Elephas maximus indicus: one gene and its partner. The protein of the gene in region 2 purifies or fractionates together with the protein of the main gene of each other region. This does not show direct contact. Links are inferred from orthologs where the notes say so. Each region holds a gene or a part of one and is shown on either strand. Other genes may lie near its edges.

What was found.
Region 1: the proteins of NUAK2 (region 2) and PPP1R12A purify together in Homo sapiens (affinity purification with mass spectrometry; 3 studies listed by BioGRID and IntAct, counting the BioPlex papers as one, with this or other methods). This does not show direct contact. The link is inferred for Elephas maximus indicus from reciprocal best matches to the Homo sapiens genes NUAK2 and PPP1R12A.

The regions. Positions count from the first base shown.
Region 1 is NC_064822.1:142,343,634-142,351,504, forward strand, and holds the start of PPP1R12A (protein phosphatase 1 regulatory subunit 12A), read right to left. Parts: upstream 3,367-7,871; 5' UTR 3,138-3,366; coding exon 2,901-3,137; intron 1-2,900. UniProt on the Homo sapiens protein: Key regulator of protein phosphatase 1C (PPP1C). Mediates binding to myosin. As part of the PPP1C complex, involved in dephosphorylation of PLK1. Capable of inhibiting HIF1AN-dependent suppression of HIF1A activity.
Region 2 is NC_064836.1:14,801,953-14,810,167, forward strand, and holds the start of NUAK2 (NUAK family SNF1-like kinase 2), read right to left. Parts: upstream 3,119-8,215; 5' UTR 3,018-3,118; coding exon 2,787-3,017; intron 2,172-2,786; exon of another isoform or gene 1,997-2,171; intron 1-1,996. UniProt on the Homo sapiens protein: Stress-activated kinase involved in tolerance to glucose starvation. Induces cell-cell detachment by increasing F-actin conversion to G-actin. Expression is induced by CD95 or TNF-alpha, via NF-kappa-B.

The DNA of each region.
Region 1 (7,871 bases), on a different chromosome or scaffold from region 2:
TGACTCGGAATCGACTCGACGGCACTGGGTTTGGTTTTTTTTTGGTTACCTAACTTCAGTACTGTTTTCTAACTACAGGGGGAAAAGGGCTATTCTTGAGACCAAGACAGAGAATTTGACAAGAAACACTGCTCTTTCTCCTAAATGGACGACATTATCCCTGTACAAAAAGAATACCTGAAAACGAAATACCTTCTAATGAAAGAGCCTGTTCAACTATTTAATAAAGAAACCTTTAAATATAAGCTGTTTGTATTAAAAATGGAAGCAAAATACTAGATTAAGAAGTATATTTGTGGGTTGTGAAGTATCTGTAACATTTCTCCTAACAATGAAATTTAGGACACTCGATCAAAACAAAAAAGTAAATGAATATTCCAAATGAATAACTAATAATTAATCTCGTAAAAATATCTTAGGTATCTTAGATCTTTTGAGAAGTTAAATTATTCAAGGTCTACTAAAAAAAAAAAAAACAATGGATCCTTTTAGGTTTATAATTTAAGTTATTAAAACAAGTAGCATTCAGGAGGTTTCTTAAAAGCTTAGTTTTGTGTGTGTGTGTGTGTGGTTCTTTTTAAAAAAGTTATATTTATCACCTTTCATTATCTGCTGTCCTGAATTTGCCCAAAGTGAACTCCTTGTTCTCACAGCCACAATGCAAAAAAAAAAGTATAAGAAGAGTTGATAAATGAGAAATACCAAGTGGAGAGAACGCAATAAAAATTTTAATGCTTCATATTTTAAAGACTTTTGCTTCACTGACTTAAGGAATGTGCAGATAAATTACAAAAAGATACTATGCAAATGGTTTATGTATAAACTTGGAAACTTCTACTTAAGTACTTGTCAACTAAAACAAATACTCAATAATACTCCACCTATATAATGCCAAACTAACCACTGAATTCATTAGTCAGGAAGAAATTAGTGTGGTAATTGTTGCAACATTGTACAAATGGGGGGGGGGAACAAGAGAATCTGAAAAGCCTGTTAAGTGCGCTTTCTCTTTCAGTACCTAAACCAGTATTAGATTAATGTATAAAAGATTCTCATCCTCCTTCAAGCCAATATATTTGGGTGTCTCTACAACAATAATAGGAAGTTTAAATTTCTATTTGACAATTTTAATAAGACATACTAATGTAAGAAATTATCCAATCACGCTGACCTCAGGGATAAAATAACAGCTTTATCTTTTAAAATTACACTTGAAACAAATTTGAAAAGATTCATCTTACATAATTACAATATCATTTGAATGCCACAAGTTTCTTTCATTTTCAAATGTCATGTTTTTAAAATCTAGAGTTATGCTGTGCCTTAAAATCAAGCAAGGCTAAAGAAAGTTTGCTATACCTTAAAGAATCTAAATTAATGGAACTGAGAAAAAGCTAAAGACCAAGCTATATCCTTACTGGGTACCACATTCTGATGTCAAGATTTTCCTGTTAATTTATCCATCATTTCAATTCATCCAGTCAACTCTGTAAACAAAGGCTATAAGCCAACTATGATATGAGAATTCAACTAAATAAAACTTAAAATAGTCATCATTCACTTCAACAGGAAGCAGTAAAAGGAAAAATGCTACCACACACCTCTCTTTTCAAAAGACAGCAAGCTAATATGCATGAAATATAAAGCCTTTAAGTTTCAACCTCCCAAACAAGTTTTTGCTACAGTATTACTCAAAATAAAGCTGCAATCTTCCCTTTACAGCCAAGCAACTTTGAAAGATTTCACAAATCTCTTCATTGTCAGAGGAAGCTATTGCTGTTAAGTCGTTTTCTAGTAATTACAAGTTGCCAACTAGGAAAATTCTAAGAGGCTATGTCTTGTTACCTACTACCATCATTTAAAAATTGCTTTTTATGCAGAACTCTACGTGGTCGTGTTGCTTTTGGCCTGTTAAAGGCAAAGCAACATTATCTCTGGATTGCCAATAGTTTCTCCTTATTTGGCTAACATTGAGAGATCCCAATCAGACCACTATAAAACTTTAACATGCACAAAGCATCCATTTTGCGGAAAGTTTGTGACCAGTTTTCCTTTTTCCCACTCCCAAAAGAAAAACCAGATCTTGGTAACCGGCTTTGAAAAGAATGCCCCATGTTTATTCTTCTCTTTCTAACTCCAGTGCACAGCCCAGGACCTGGGGCTCCAGGATCTGTGACACTGCAGCAAACTCACACCGAGTACTGGACCTCAGATAAGCGTTCCGGTCTGGAGATGGACAAGCACTTTTGAACGCTCACTTCCATTCCCTCCCTTTCAGCCGGTGCAGATCAGCTAATTACACCCCGTTTTCTCCTCCCCAGTAACCAAGAGTAATAAAAGAGAAAACAGGAAATCGTTCGCTCAGGGCACTCGGCTTAGAGCTCTTGATTACTATTATTACCATCATTTGTAATCAAGTCCTAAAAAGTACAACAAATCCAATGCCCACCTACAAGCCAAAGATGTCCATCTGCCCGAGAGTCCCTAATGTTCCTTGTAAGTAGTTCTCTTCAGCATCCCCGTCCCCCAAATAAATCCCTGACAGCGGGGCCCAGACACAACCCATTACACCCCTTCTCGTCTCGACCCCAAATCCCAGACACACGACTACAAACGGCCTTAGGGCCCCAAGCAGACCACAGTCCCTTTTCCCCTGTGCCCCGTCAACCAGCCGATTCCCAACTTTAATACCAACTGCTCTGAAGGGGGCCTCAAGCCCTGCGCCCTCCCTCCACCAGTTCTTTCCCTCCCTCCCTCGCGGGAAACCGCCCCCTCACCCCACAGCAGGGAGTCTCTCCCGCCGCCCCCAGCCTCAGGAGGCCCAGAGCGGAGGAGAGGCCCTGACTAAAGAACGGCGGAAACCCTCAGGGTCAGGAGAGCGCGCGGCGGGGTGCACAGACCTGGTGCAGAGCGGTAAGTCCGTCCACATTGGCGTAATTGATGTCGGCGCCGCGGTGCAGCAGCTTGAGGACCTCGTCCGTGTCGCCGCTTGAGCAAGCAGCCAGGAAGACGGCGCCATCGTCGAACTTCACCTTGGTCTTCTGACGCTTCACCACAGGAGGCTCGAGGTCCGTCTCGGAGCCGATCCAGCGCTTCAGCTGCTCGTTCCGCTTCTGCTTCGCGTCCGCCATCTTCATCCCCTCTCCTGCCGCCGGGTCTTCTTATCGCGAGGGGGGAAGGGGGAGGCGGAGAGGGAAGAGAGGGGAGGCAGGGGGTGTGTGACTGTTTCTATGAGGGCTGGCCAGAGGAGGGCTGGGAACCGGGAGGAAACGCTCGAGACTTCCAGTATCCCACAGAGCACTGGGGCGGCGCGCCCGGGCGAGCGGACCTCCCTTCCTACCACAGAAGCCCTCCCGCCCCCGGCCTGGCCACCCGTCACCGGCGGCCACTGTAACGTAACTTCGCGAGATCCGGGCAGGGAGGCGCCCTTCGGCCCGTGCGCATGCGCCCTGGGTCTGTGCCCGCCCCAGGAAGAAAGCTCCCGCGAACTGCGACGGGGGCGGCCCGGCCACCGGAGGGAAGCGGGTGTGGCTCGGGCCGCGGGGGCTGGGACCAACCTGAGAGGGAAGAAGGAGGAAAGGAAGGTTTCCCTGCCCCACTAAAGGCTCCCAGGGTCCCGAAGGCCAACAGTTGGCCTGCACAGCATTGCGGGGCAGACCTGCCTCCGAGGCTGTCTTGGCTCTGCGGAGTCGTTTGCTCAGCACGGAAGATTTTCCTATTGGCCTGCGTTATTTGAATGGAATGGGGGATAGTTCTTGTGTTAGGTGCATGTGGTTTCTCTTTCCAAGGAACTCTGGAAGAATTGGGCGTCTGACAACTGAACAGAACCTTTTTAAAGTTGGATCTGTGTAGCCAAGGACTTTGGACGTAGTTTCCCCAGATCGCAGCCGGAGATGACCGCCTAGTGCCCAGGGTTGGCCTGCGGTCATTGCAGTGGCTTCCTGCCAACACCCAAACGTCCGGCCAAACGTCTTTCCTCTCCTGCCTGGCTTTTTGTTTTTAACCTCCTTACGCTTATTTTGGGTCCTCTTTTCTCTCAGTGCTTTAAGCTGCCCAGTATTCCTCTTGAGCTCAGTTCGGCCTTGTTACTGGTCCTGACCTTTTAAGGGATTTCTGCTTCCTGCTCCCTCTTTTTCTAAAGACGTATCTACTTATGGGGTTCAAAAGAAATGTAAATAATAGCAACCATTTCAACCAGTATTTTTTTTAGGTGCCAAAGAGTCAGTTCCGACTCACAGCGACCCTATGTACGAAACACTGGCTGGTCCTGCTCCATTCTCACAGTCATTATGCTTGAGCCCATTGTTACAGCCATTATATCAATCCATCTTCTTGAGTGTCTTCCTCTTTTTCACTGACCCTCTACCTTAGCAAGCGTGATGTCCTTCTCCAGGGGACTGGTCGCTCCTGATAACATGTACAAAGTATGTGAGACAAGTCTCACCACCCTTCTAATATTTATTGAATACCTATAAGCCAGTCATGGTTCTAGACACTGCACGTATTAACAGTGAAGAGAACGACATGCTTATTTGAACCACCTCTTGAGGCCATCAAAAAAAAAAAAAAATCATAATGAAACACTAAATTTGCCTTGTTTGACTACTCATACTCAAAAAGGAGATACGTAACAAATACTAATATAAGCTCATCTATTTGCTACCGCCACCAACTGATGTTTTTCTAAACACCCCATTGTTTTCATGCAACTGGTTTTTTTTAGAGCGTTTACAAGTAAAATAAGAGAAGTCATAAAATACTACCATCGAAGGGAAATTTAGGGATTGTCTTGACTGAGTTGCCAAAGAACTAACTGATGTTTAATTTCACCCAAAAGCAGGATTAGGATTTATTCAACAAATATTATGCACCTGTTCTGGGTCAGGCATTGTTCTAGATGCTGGGGATACAGCAGTGAACAATTTAGCGTTGTTTACTCTCAGCATGATACCCTTTCCGGTAGACTACATTGTAGCTATCATATTGGAAACTAAAATAGACCAAAATCCGATTAGGAAACAATCTACCTATAAGACTGAATTTCCTGAACCACAAGTCCCAGCATAGAAATATAACCAAAATAAACCAAATCGGTTGCTGTCAAGTCGATTCAGACTCACAGTGACCCTGTGGGACAGAGTAGAACTGCCCTACAGAGTTTCCAAGGAGCAGCTGGTAGATTGGAAATGCCGACCTTCTGGTTAGCAGGCAAGCTCTTAACCCCTGCACAACCAGGGCTCCCAGGTTCAAAATGGAAACCAAACGCATTGCTGTCCAGTCCAATTTCAACTCATAGCAAGTAGAACTGCCGCATAGGGTTTCCAAGGCTGTGAATTTTTCCAGAAGCTGACTGCCAAATCTTTGTCCCACGGAGGAGGCTGGTGAGTCGCCTCTGATCTGTCATTTAGCAGCAGCCAAGTGCTTAACCACTGCACCACCAGGACTCCTCTAGCCCAGGTTGTTGTTATTGGCAGGTGCCATCAGAGGCAGTTCCCAATCTTAGCAACCCTTATGTACAACAGAAGGAAACACTGCTCAGTCCTACAGTCCTCACAGTCATTGCTATCTTTGAGCCCATTACTGCAGTCACTGTGTCAATCCATCTCATTAAGGTCTCCCTCTTTTTTGCTGACCCTCTACCAAGCATCATGTCCTTCTCCAGGGACTGGTCCCTCCTGAGAACATGTCCAAAGTATTTGAGACAAAGTCTTGCCATCGTTGCTTCTGAGGAGCATCCTGGCCTTACTCTTTCCAAGACAGATGCGTTTGTTCTCCTGGCAGTCCATGATATATTCAATATTTTTCACCAACACTGTAATTCAAAAGCATCAAATCTTCTTCAGTCTTCCTTATTCATTGTCCAGCTTTCACAGGCATATAAAGTGATTAAAAATACCCTGGCTTGGGTCAGGCACACCTTAGTCATCAAAGGACATCTTTAGAGGTCTTCTGCGGCAGATTTGCCCAATGCAATACGTCACTTGATTTTGTGACTGCTGCTTTCATGTGCATTGATTGTGGATCAAAGTAAAATGAAGCCCTTAACAACTTCAATATTTTCTCCATTTATCATGATGTTGCTCATTAGTGCAGCTGTGAGGATTATTGTTTTCTTCATGTTGAGGTGTAATCCTTACTGAAGGCTGTGTTCTTTGATCTTCATCAGTTAGTGCTTCACGTCCTCTTCATTTTCAGCAAGCAAGGTTGTGCCATCTGCATATTGCACATTGTTAATGAGTCTTCCTCCAATCTTCCTCCAAGCTTCTCAGATTATTTGCTCAGTGTACACATTGAGTAAGTATGGTAAAAGGATACAACCCTAACCTACACCTTTCTTGATTTTAGAACATGTATTATCCCTTGTTCTGTTCAAAGGACTGCCTCTCGGTCTATGTACAGGTTTCACATAGGCACGATTAAGTGTTCTGGAATTACCATTCTTCAGAATGTTATCCATAATTTGTTATGATCCCAGGTTAGGGATCCTGAAAATACTGTAGGAATAGAAGGTGAGGGTAAGAAGCGTAAAATACACCAATGATAATACCACATCTTGGAATAATGATGGAGTAAGGAGCTGAGAAACTCCAAATTAGCACTAAAATTCAAAAGACCTATTCACTTAAAAAACTCCAGAATACAGCTCTTACAGTGAAAGAAAGGAATTTGAGGATAGCCTTGTTAGCTTTTCTGTCTACCTAGAAAAACTGGCAGCTTATCCTTAGTGTTTTCCAAGAATGTTACGTGGCCTATTTGGTAGCTCATAAAAGTGCTCTGGAATACAGATCAGTAACTCCAGTCTTCATTTGGGCAAGAGGAGTTTCGTAGGAAGTTTGCTATTATTGAAGCAAGCATTTACTTCTGAATATAAAATTAATAAATAAACTAAAATAAGAATTAGTATATAAATAAAATATTAATGGTTAAGTCCACCACACGTCTGCAGTTTGTCATACCGTGGTGGCTTACGTGTTGCTGCGATACAAGGAACTTTACCACTGGTATTTCAAATATCAGTAGGGTCACCCTTGCTGAATAGGTTTCAGCAGAGCTTCTAGACTAAGACATACTGGAAGAAAGACCTCTCAGTTTACTTCTGAAAAAGTTGACCAGTAAAAACCTTATGAATAGCAGTGGAACCTTGTCTGATATAGTGGTAGAAGATGAGCCCCTCAAGTTAGAAGGCACTCAAAATACAACTGGGGAAGAGCACACTTGCCAAAGTAAAGTCGACCTTAATGACGTGGAGGGAGTCAAGCTTTCAGAACCTTCATTGGCTGATGTGGCACAAATCAAAATGAAAAGAAACAGCTACAAACATTGATTAATAATCAGAATGTGCAATGTATGATGTATGAACCTAGGAATATTGGAAATTGTCAAAAATGAAATAGAAGCATAAAGATCAATATCTTAGGCATTAGTGAGCTGAAATAGACTGGTACTGGCCATTTTGAATAAGACAATCGTATGGTCTATATGCCTGGAATGAGAAGTAGAAGAGGAATGGTGTCACGTTCACCATCAAAAAGAATATTTCAGGATCTATACTGAAGTACAACATTATCAGTGATGGGATAATATCCCTATGCCTACAAGGAAGGCCACTTAATATGACTATTATTCAAATTTATGCACCAACCATTAATGCCAAAGATGAGGAAATTAAAGATTTTTACCAATTTCTGCAGTCTGAAATTGATCAAAGATGCAATAAAAATGCATTGATAATTACTGGCGATTGGAATGCAAAAGTTGGAAACGAAGAATAAGGATGGGTAGTTGGACAATGTGGCCTTGGTGATAGAAATGACATCAGAGATCCCATGATGAAATTTTGCAAGACCACTGCAAATACCTTTTTTCAACAA
Region 2 (8,215 bases):
CACGCATATCATCCCAAAGGCTTGGGGGACTCCACCATTCCAGGGGCCCCAGTATGTTTTTTCTCTTTGGGGGAAAGGGGAGGTCAGAGAAGCAGGCGAGAGCCACAGAAGGAAATGTTATTTGGATGCCAGGAATGTACTCAGGCAACCAGAAGATCCAGAGCAAATATTTGTTTTTCCTTTGATGCCCTTCTGGAGCAGCATTAGTCCCTCCCACCTGCTTGCCCCTCCCTCTGAACAATCCCATCTGGCCCCTGATGATCCCATCTAGGCAGGTTGGGAATGGGATGTGAGTTAGGAAAGTAGACAGAAAATTGGGATGGGAGTCGCTCAGCAGGCTTTCCTCTGAATCTAACCTCCACCAACAGTCTCAGCCCATTTTGGGAGAGGTCCTGGACTGCTCTTGTGAGCCTAACTCCACACTCCTGAAGTGTCCTGAGACACCAGGTCTCTCTCTTCAGGGAGGGTCCAGAGGCAGGATGGGGGTGGAGAACAGGATTGCTCTCCAGCAGAGAAACCACTGGCACAGCAGGGCGGCTGCTGTCCAACAAGGAGGGAGACCCTGAGCAAGTTCCCACCAGGTGGTGGACTGATGGGTCAGGGAGGTTCAGAGCAGGGCCTGCTAGACTGACCTTGGCTCCCTGCACGCTAGAGACAAGAGCCCAGGGAGCACCCTCTGAATTCTAATTCTCTCTTTTCTGATGTAATAAAAGCTGGAATCCCTGCCTAGAGCCACCGAGGTTTGAAAACTGAAAGCTGGTTTATCTCACTCTGGGATCAAATGAGACCTCTCTCTCTCTTTTTCTCTACCCACATACACACACACAGGCATGTGCAACAACTCCAATCCCAGTTTCTGGGCCACCCCAGTCTGCACGACTCAGTCTTCCCCCCAACAAGAGGAAGGAGGGACAAGGCATAAGCAGCTACTTTACCGCTAAGCCCTAACCCAGCCTGGGCCCAGCAGTCTCATGCCTGGAGCCTCATCGGTCCTTGCACTTTACAGAAAGAGAAATGCCAGGAAGTACACGATTGCCCAATAGCTGTAACCTGGCAGCGGGCAGCTGGGGACTGTGCCAGGCCTTAGCAGGAAAAACATACTCGATCCTATTGATAGGGCCACAACCCACTCCCTTTCTCCAACACCCACTCTCCTTCACCAATGAAATGACTTCTTGAATTTCAAACCAGCTACCGGCTGCAAAAGCAAACACAATCTGGGGAGGCGACCGCTGCCATAACCAATAAGGCAAACCATGGCCACACACACGCCTCACAACCAGAACTGGACTGGGTTTGGTGAACTATAACCCCTAGACCCCCTGGTTAAAATGTTAAATGTTAAAATTCAGATTATATCTGCCCTGTGCTAGACCTTCAGAATAAAATCCTCTGGATGTGGGACCAGAAAGCATACATTTTAAACAAGCATCGCTAGGTGATTCCCATGCACTTAAGTTTGAGAGCCCCTGCTAACCAACCTTTCAGGGCTGGCCCTTCCAGATTCAGATTTAAGTCTCACTTCTCCGGTTCTCTGGGTCACAAACACTTTAGTTCACCTTTTTATCTCGTTCAATTCTCAAAGCAGCTTGTGAGGGAGACTGTTTTCCCCATGTTTGTAGAAAGGGAAAGAAACTGAGAAGTACAGTGAGGAAGTGAAATGCTAAAGGTCACGTTATAACGTATATAATATATATACTATCTCTCTCACGCACACGAACACCTCCCACACCAAAATAATAGGACAAGTTTCCAAAAAGGCCCCAAACCCAGGGTATCATGGGACACAGCAGACCTTGCACCAGAGGCTGGTTTCACATTTAACAGAATAAAAACCCATCATCATGAAACTTCCCTCGATCTTCGAGCTGGAAAGGACCTAAGTGTCAGCTCCACTGCAGACCCACCCCGTGCAGATCTCCACAGCAAGCTCTTAGAACTGAGTTGGATTCCTCACTCATTTATTCAACCACACACGTATTTATTAAACCCTTACTGAAGTCAGGCGCCGTCTACTTCCTCTTTCTGTACTGGATAGTCTGTTCCAAGCAACATTCAGTTTAAGTCACCTCTTCCCCAGGAAGCCTTCTCCGTCCCAAACCAGGACACCAGCCCTCTTCTACGCCCGCACCAGCCGTCGGCCTCGCCGGTTCGGCTGTCATCGACGCTGCCTGGTGGTGGTGGGTTTCTCGGGTCCAAGGCTGCTGGCCTCCTAGGTCCACCCCTGTGCAGCGGCCCGCGGCCCGCGGCCCGCGGCCCGCGGCCCGCGGCCCCCGGCCCCCGGCCCCCGGCCCCGGCCCCGGCCCCGGCCCCGGCCCCCGGCCCCCGGCCCCGGCCCCGGCCCCGGCCCCCGGCCCCGGCCCCCGGCCCCGGCCCCCGGCCCCGGCCCCCGGCCCCCGGCCCCCGGCCCCCGGCCCCCCGGCCCCGGCCCCGGCCCCGGCCCCCGGCCCCGGCCCCCGGCCCCCGGCCCCCCGGCCCCCGGCCCCCCGGCCCCGGCCCCGGCCCCCGGCCCCGGCCCCCGGCCCCGGCCCCCGGCCCCCGGCCCCGGCCCCCGGCCCCCGGCCCCCGGCCCCCCCGCCCCCGGCCCCGGCCCCCGCCCCCGGCCCCGGCCCCCGGCCCCCGGCCCCCGGCCCCCGGCCCCCGGCCCCCGGCCCCGGCCGGCGTGGTCAAGGCTGAACGCCGGCAACTGCCCGAGCGCCGCCCGAGCCCCCAGCCTCCCTTCTCCGCTCCCGGCCCGCGGCGGAGTCCCGAACCCGCGGCGCGCCGCGCGAGGGAGGGGCACTCACCGAGCGCCCCGAGCTCTCCCGCGCCTTCTTCACCTTCCCGTAGGTGCCCCTGCCCAGGGTCTCCAGGAACTCGTAGCGGTGCCGCAGGTTGTGCTTGTGGTGGTGCCGCTTCACCGCCTGCTTCCTCATCAGCGGCTTGGGCGACTTGACGAGCCCGTGGGCCAGGGGCCGGGCGAGCTCTGCGGCCGAGGGAGCCGGCCCGGGGCGCCGGGGGAAAGCCACGGACTCCATGGCGAGCAGGAGGCCAGCGAGGGCGGCGGGGGAGGCGGCCGAGCGGGGACGGCTACAGGCCGGGACGCGGAGCCCGAGGCCGGGCCAGTAGCTCGCCGTCGCTCCGGACGGGGCTGAAAGGCGCCGCGCTCCAACCGCTTATAAAGGCTCCGGCGGCCCTGGCCACGCCCCCCGGCGCCCATTGGCCTGCTCGCCGGCGGAGCGCGACCCGGGCCTCCCGCACTGGCCCGCGCCGGCCTCGGCCCCGCCCCCCCCGGCGCGCCGGGGAGAGGTGTCAACAGAGCCCCGCCCACACGGGTCCTAGGGGTTCTTGGAGCGACGAGAAAGGGGAGAACGGGACGCGAGAGGAGGCTGCTGGGCGCGCTGGTACAGCTCAGGGCCGAAGCCTTACTCTGAGGGCCCTTAGAACTGCTCTGAGGAGCCCTGGTGATGCAGCGGTTAAAGCGCTGGGCTGCTAACCGAAGGGTCGGCGGTTCCAAGGCACCAGCCTCTTGGCTGGAGAAAGATGTGGCAGTCTGTTTCCTTAAAGATTTACAGCCTTGGAAACCCTATGGGGCAGTTCTACTCTGTCCTGTAGAGTCGCTTTGAGTCGGAATCCACTCAAAGGCGATGGATCTGATTTGATTTAGAACTGCTCTTGCCTCTGGGGGGCGCTCAGTCCTGGTTCTAGTCACCTATTGCCGTTCCATTGTGTTCTCGGTAGGCAACAGGCAATCTGATGGCAGTAGAGGCCACCAAAGTGTTTCTCCATCCCGAGTCATTTGCTTTCCCAAGCCAAAAATCTTTAAAGTCGCTCGACCGTTCTCTAAGTCCATAAAGGAGAAAGGGAATCTATTTTTCCTTTAAAGAAGAAAGTGCACAAAGGAGAAAGGGGAGAGTGATGGGGTGGGGGTGGGGGTGGGGACAAACTCCAGTCAAGTGGGAGAGCCGTCGATTCTGGGTTCTGGGTTGACCTGTCTTCAGTGAGATGAATTATAACTGGGTCCCAGAATACCATCGGGGAAGTTCTTGCCTCTTCATCAAAGGTTTTCGTCTCCGCGATTCTGGAGCCGGAAGGACTGGTGTTAGGTCATCCAGTCTGGCTTGTTTTTTGGTTTTTTTTAAATTGTGCTTTCAGTGAAAGTTTACAACTCAAGTCAGTCTCTCATACAAAAACTTACAAACACCTTGCTATATCCTCCTAACTGCTCTCCCCCAATGAGACAGCACACTCCTTCCCTCCACTCTCTTTTTTCCTGTCCATTCGACCAGCTTCTGACCCCCTCTGCCCTCTCATTTCCCCTCCAGACAGGAGGTGCCAACATAGTCTTGTGCATCTACTTGATCCAAGAAGCTCATTCTTAACCAGTATCATTTTCTATCCCATTGACCTTTTTTTTTTTTATTATTTTAAACCAACTTTTTGGTGAAAGTTTACACAGCAAGTTAGGTTCCCATTTGACAATTACCACACAAATTGTTCATTGACATTAGTTACATTTATCACAGTTTGTCCACATTCCCCTTAATTGTGTCTATACCCATTCGTATGTGCTCAAACACTTATTTTTACTTTGGTAAAAACACCCACGTTCAGTGCTGCTTTTCCTATCACCAGAAGTAACTAGTCCTGTGGGGTAAAGTGTACTTTCCCTATCCCTGTCCTCTCCCTGGTAACCACCAATGAATACTGGCCTCTCTAAATTTATCTGTTCTGTCTTCTTATAAAAGAGGAATCACATAATATTTGGCCTTGTGTGGTTGACTTCTTTCACTCAGCATTATGCCCTCCAGATCCATCCATGTTATAATGTGTTTCATGGACGCATCATTGTTCTTTACAGTTGTGTAGTATTCCATCGTATATATGTACCACAATTTGCTTATCCATTCTTCTGCTGATAGGCACTTAGGTTGTTCCCATTTTTTTTTTGCTATTGTGATGAAGCAACGAACATAGGGGTGCATATGTCTGTTCATGTCACTACTTTTACGTCTCTAGGGTATATCCCTAGGAGCGGGATTGCTGGATCATAAGGTAGCCCTATTTCTAGTTTTTTGAGGTGGTGGTGCACCATTTTCCATAGTGATTGTACCATTTTACAGTCTCACCAGCAATTGATAAGGGTTCCAATCTCCATACGTCCTCACCAACATTTGCTGTTATGTTTTTTTACATCAGTTTGGCTTGGTTTCTGAGGCCTGGGTCCAGAATCCCCATTCCGAGAGCTCATCTAGGAGTAAAATGAGAGCGTCCACAGGCTTCTGTCTTCCCTTTAAATGTGGGGCAAGATGGGTGAAAGGAATATCTCCCCTTCAGTCCTCCTAACAACCTAATCCTCTGAGGTGGGTACAGCTCTGCCCAAGGTCCCACAACTGGCAAGAAAGTGGTAGAGCTGGAATTCAGAGCCTGGTCTGTGGGGAGAAGTGGAGGGCAGCTAGCCTTGATCCCTTTCCCTGAGGGATACCCTTCCTGCAAGTGACTCAGAGCACTGACTGGGTCCCAGCTGTGCTGGGGGAAGCCCTTATCCAACCCCACCCCCCAAGAGGGTGGTGTCTCCAGCTGTCTATCAGGGCAAGTTGAAGGTCAAGAAGGACTAAATGCTCAGTGGCTGAATTTTGCATTCAGTGTCAGCCCACATTCCTACTTCTACTGTCCTTTCTAGCGTGAGTCAGGAATGGAGAATGGTTTTGTGGCCATAGAGGACCCACCTTATGCAGGAACGGCCACCCCATCGCCCTCTCAAATCCAGAGGGCCACAGGAGGTGGTAGCCCGTCTAACTCTTCCCTCTACCAGCCTTCTCTCTTTCTCTGGGTTAACTGTGAAAGTAAAATGAGGCCCAAGAGATAGCTTCCCTGACCTGCTGTTTACTTTTCCACTCAAGATCCGTGTATATTTCTGACCCAGCTAACTGGGGCCATCCAGAGGGACTGGGACTCTCAGGACGAACTATGGGTGACATATGAGCAAGAACAGGACTGAGTGTTGGGAAACCTTGAGTTCTAATCCTGACTCTGAAACTAACCCATTCTGTGGCCTTCTGACAATCACTTCATTCATTTTACAAATACTGGTGCCCACCAGTTCTGGGCCTGGGGCTATAATGGTGACAAGGTGGACAGGGTGTCTGCCCTCAGAGAACACTCAGCCTCTCGAGAAACAAACAAGCACAGTCTATATAGAGGGAGAGGTGTCCATGCTGGAGCAAGAGCAGGAGTGCCCTTGGAGTGTGTGAGAGTATAACGGAAAGAGGTTGGTCAGGGACATCTTCCTGGGCAGGGTCTTTTGAGCTGAGACCTGAAGGATAAATGGCAATTAGCCAGATAAAGTCAACATGTCTTTATAAGTAAGATGAAAGAATTATGCAGATGAACCTAAGATTCCCTTTCAGGTTTAATCTTGACCCCAGCTGTTCTCAACACCTTGCGCACTTTGTTATTGTTGTTAATTGCTGTTGAATTTGATTCTGACTCATGGTGAGCCCACGTGTGCAAAGTAGAACTGCTTCATAGGGTTTTCAAGGCTGTGACCTTTTGGAAGCAGATCACCAGGTCTATCTTCTGCTCTGAGTGTATTCGAACCACCAAACTTTGGGTGACTAGTCTAGTGCTAAACTCTTTGTGGACTACCAGGCACATAAAAGGTGCTCAGTAGATGCTTATGTAGGAAGGGAATGGATAAGCATGGAATCCAAAGGCTAAAATGAAAGCACCTGCAGAAGACCGGTTTTCCTCCATCATCAGCTAAACTGGGGGTGGCAGTGGGGGTGGATCTCCTGAGACCTCTAGGGTACTCCCCGCCCGCACGCTAGCTTCCTTTGACTAGAATCTGAATCCCCATTTAGAGACAAGGGATCTCCTCTTTCTCAGCCATGGTGTAGTTTAGCAGCCCAGGAGGGGCTGTGGTCAGGGCTTCCGTGCCACCTCGGCTGGCTGCTGTCTGTCCATGGCAGGCAGGGAAGGGAGGGAGACAGACAGATACAGCTGGAACTGCATGTGACTCGGAAATGATTTTAACTGCAGAAACTCAACCCTCAAATTCCTCAAAGGGGAGACCCTGTCAGTCTCTGATCCCTGATCCAGAGTACCTTTGGGGAATCTGCTTAAGTCAGGGGCTAGGCTGCCGGCAACCTCAGGGAATTCCTGGTCACGGGTGGAGAGCCTGGGCTGAGCTGTTCAGTACTACCTGGCCGCCGCAGTCTAGACCAGGGAGGGGGAAGGCTACGTGCCCCTCACCAGCCACCCGCTGCCTGAAGGGCCCTCAGGGAAAACTGCTCATCGGCCACCATGTGCTGCTCTGGGGAAACTGGGAACACATGTCTGTCCCTGTCCTCATAGTCCGTGTGTGTGAGGTGGGGAATCCAGGCTAGTGAAAGGGCAGCAGAGTAAGGACTGTGGTGAGACGTGAAACGCAGTTGGGAACACAGGTGGCAGGCATCCAGGTCACGCTTTGGGGTGAGAGTGGGGGCAAGGCAGGTCTCTAGAAAGAGAGCCATCTAAGATGAGTCTTGAGGGATGACTAAGAATTAGCCAGGCCTGAGTTTTTTTTTTTTTTTTTTAAGAGTGGGCGTGGGGGTTGTTCTTGTCGCCTTGGCTAAATTCAGCCAGACGCCCCTGAGGTGGGTGTGACCTGCAGGCCCAGCATGGGACCTGTTCTCAGAGGGCGCTGTCTGGAACTCTGTTAGACTTTAGATGGCTTCAAAGCCCAAACATAAGTCTCCCAGACACTCACCCACTCAGCCTCCCATTGGTAGACCCTGACTCATGACAGGCTCTTGTCAGTAGACAGCCTTAGGATACAGGGTCAAACCCAGGAACCCAGAAGCCCCTGCTTAGCTAATAGAGTGAGCATTTTGGCTGTGTGTACCTTTTTTTTTTTTTCTCCTGGCTACCCTAATTCCACAATTATCTGCATTTTGGGAGTTAGTGACTGAAAGCATGGGAATTGAGTGGGGAAAGCAACAGCTAAACCCTGTAAGTTTGGGACTTAGGGGGTCGCCCCTCGCAGGCCAGACCCCAAACTGCTCCCAGGGTGCTCTGAGCACCTGATGGGGGAGGCACTTCTCCCTCCTCAGCTGGGGCAGCTCCTGGCTAAGCCAGTGGACTGTGGCCTTGAACAGTGCCAGAATAGAAATAAAATGCGAGCTACATACGGAATTTTAAGTTTTTAAAAACACATTAGAAAAAAGTAAAAAGAAACACGGGAAATTAATTTTAA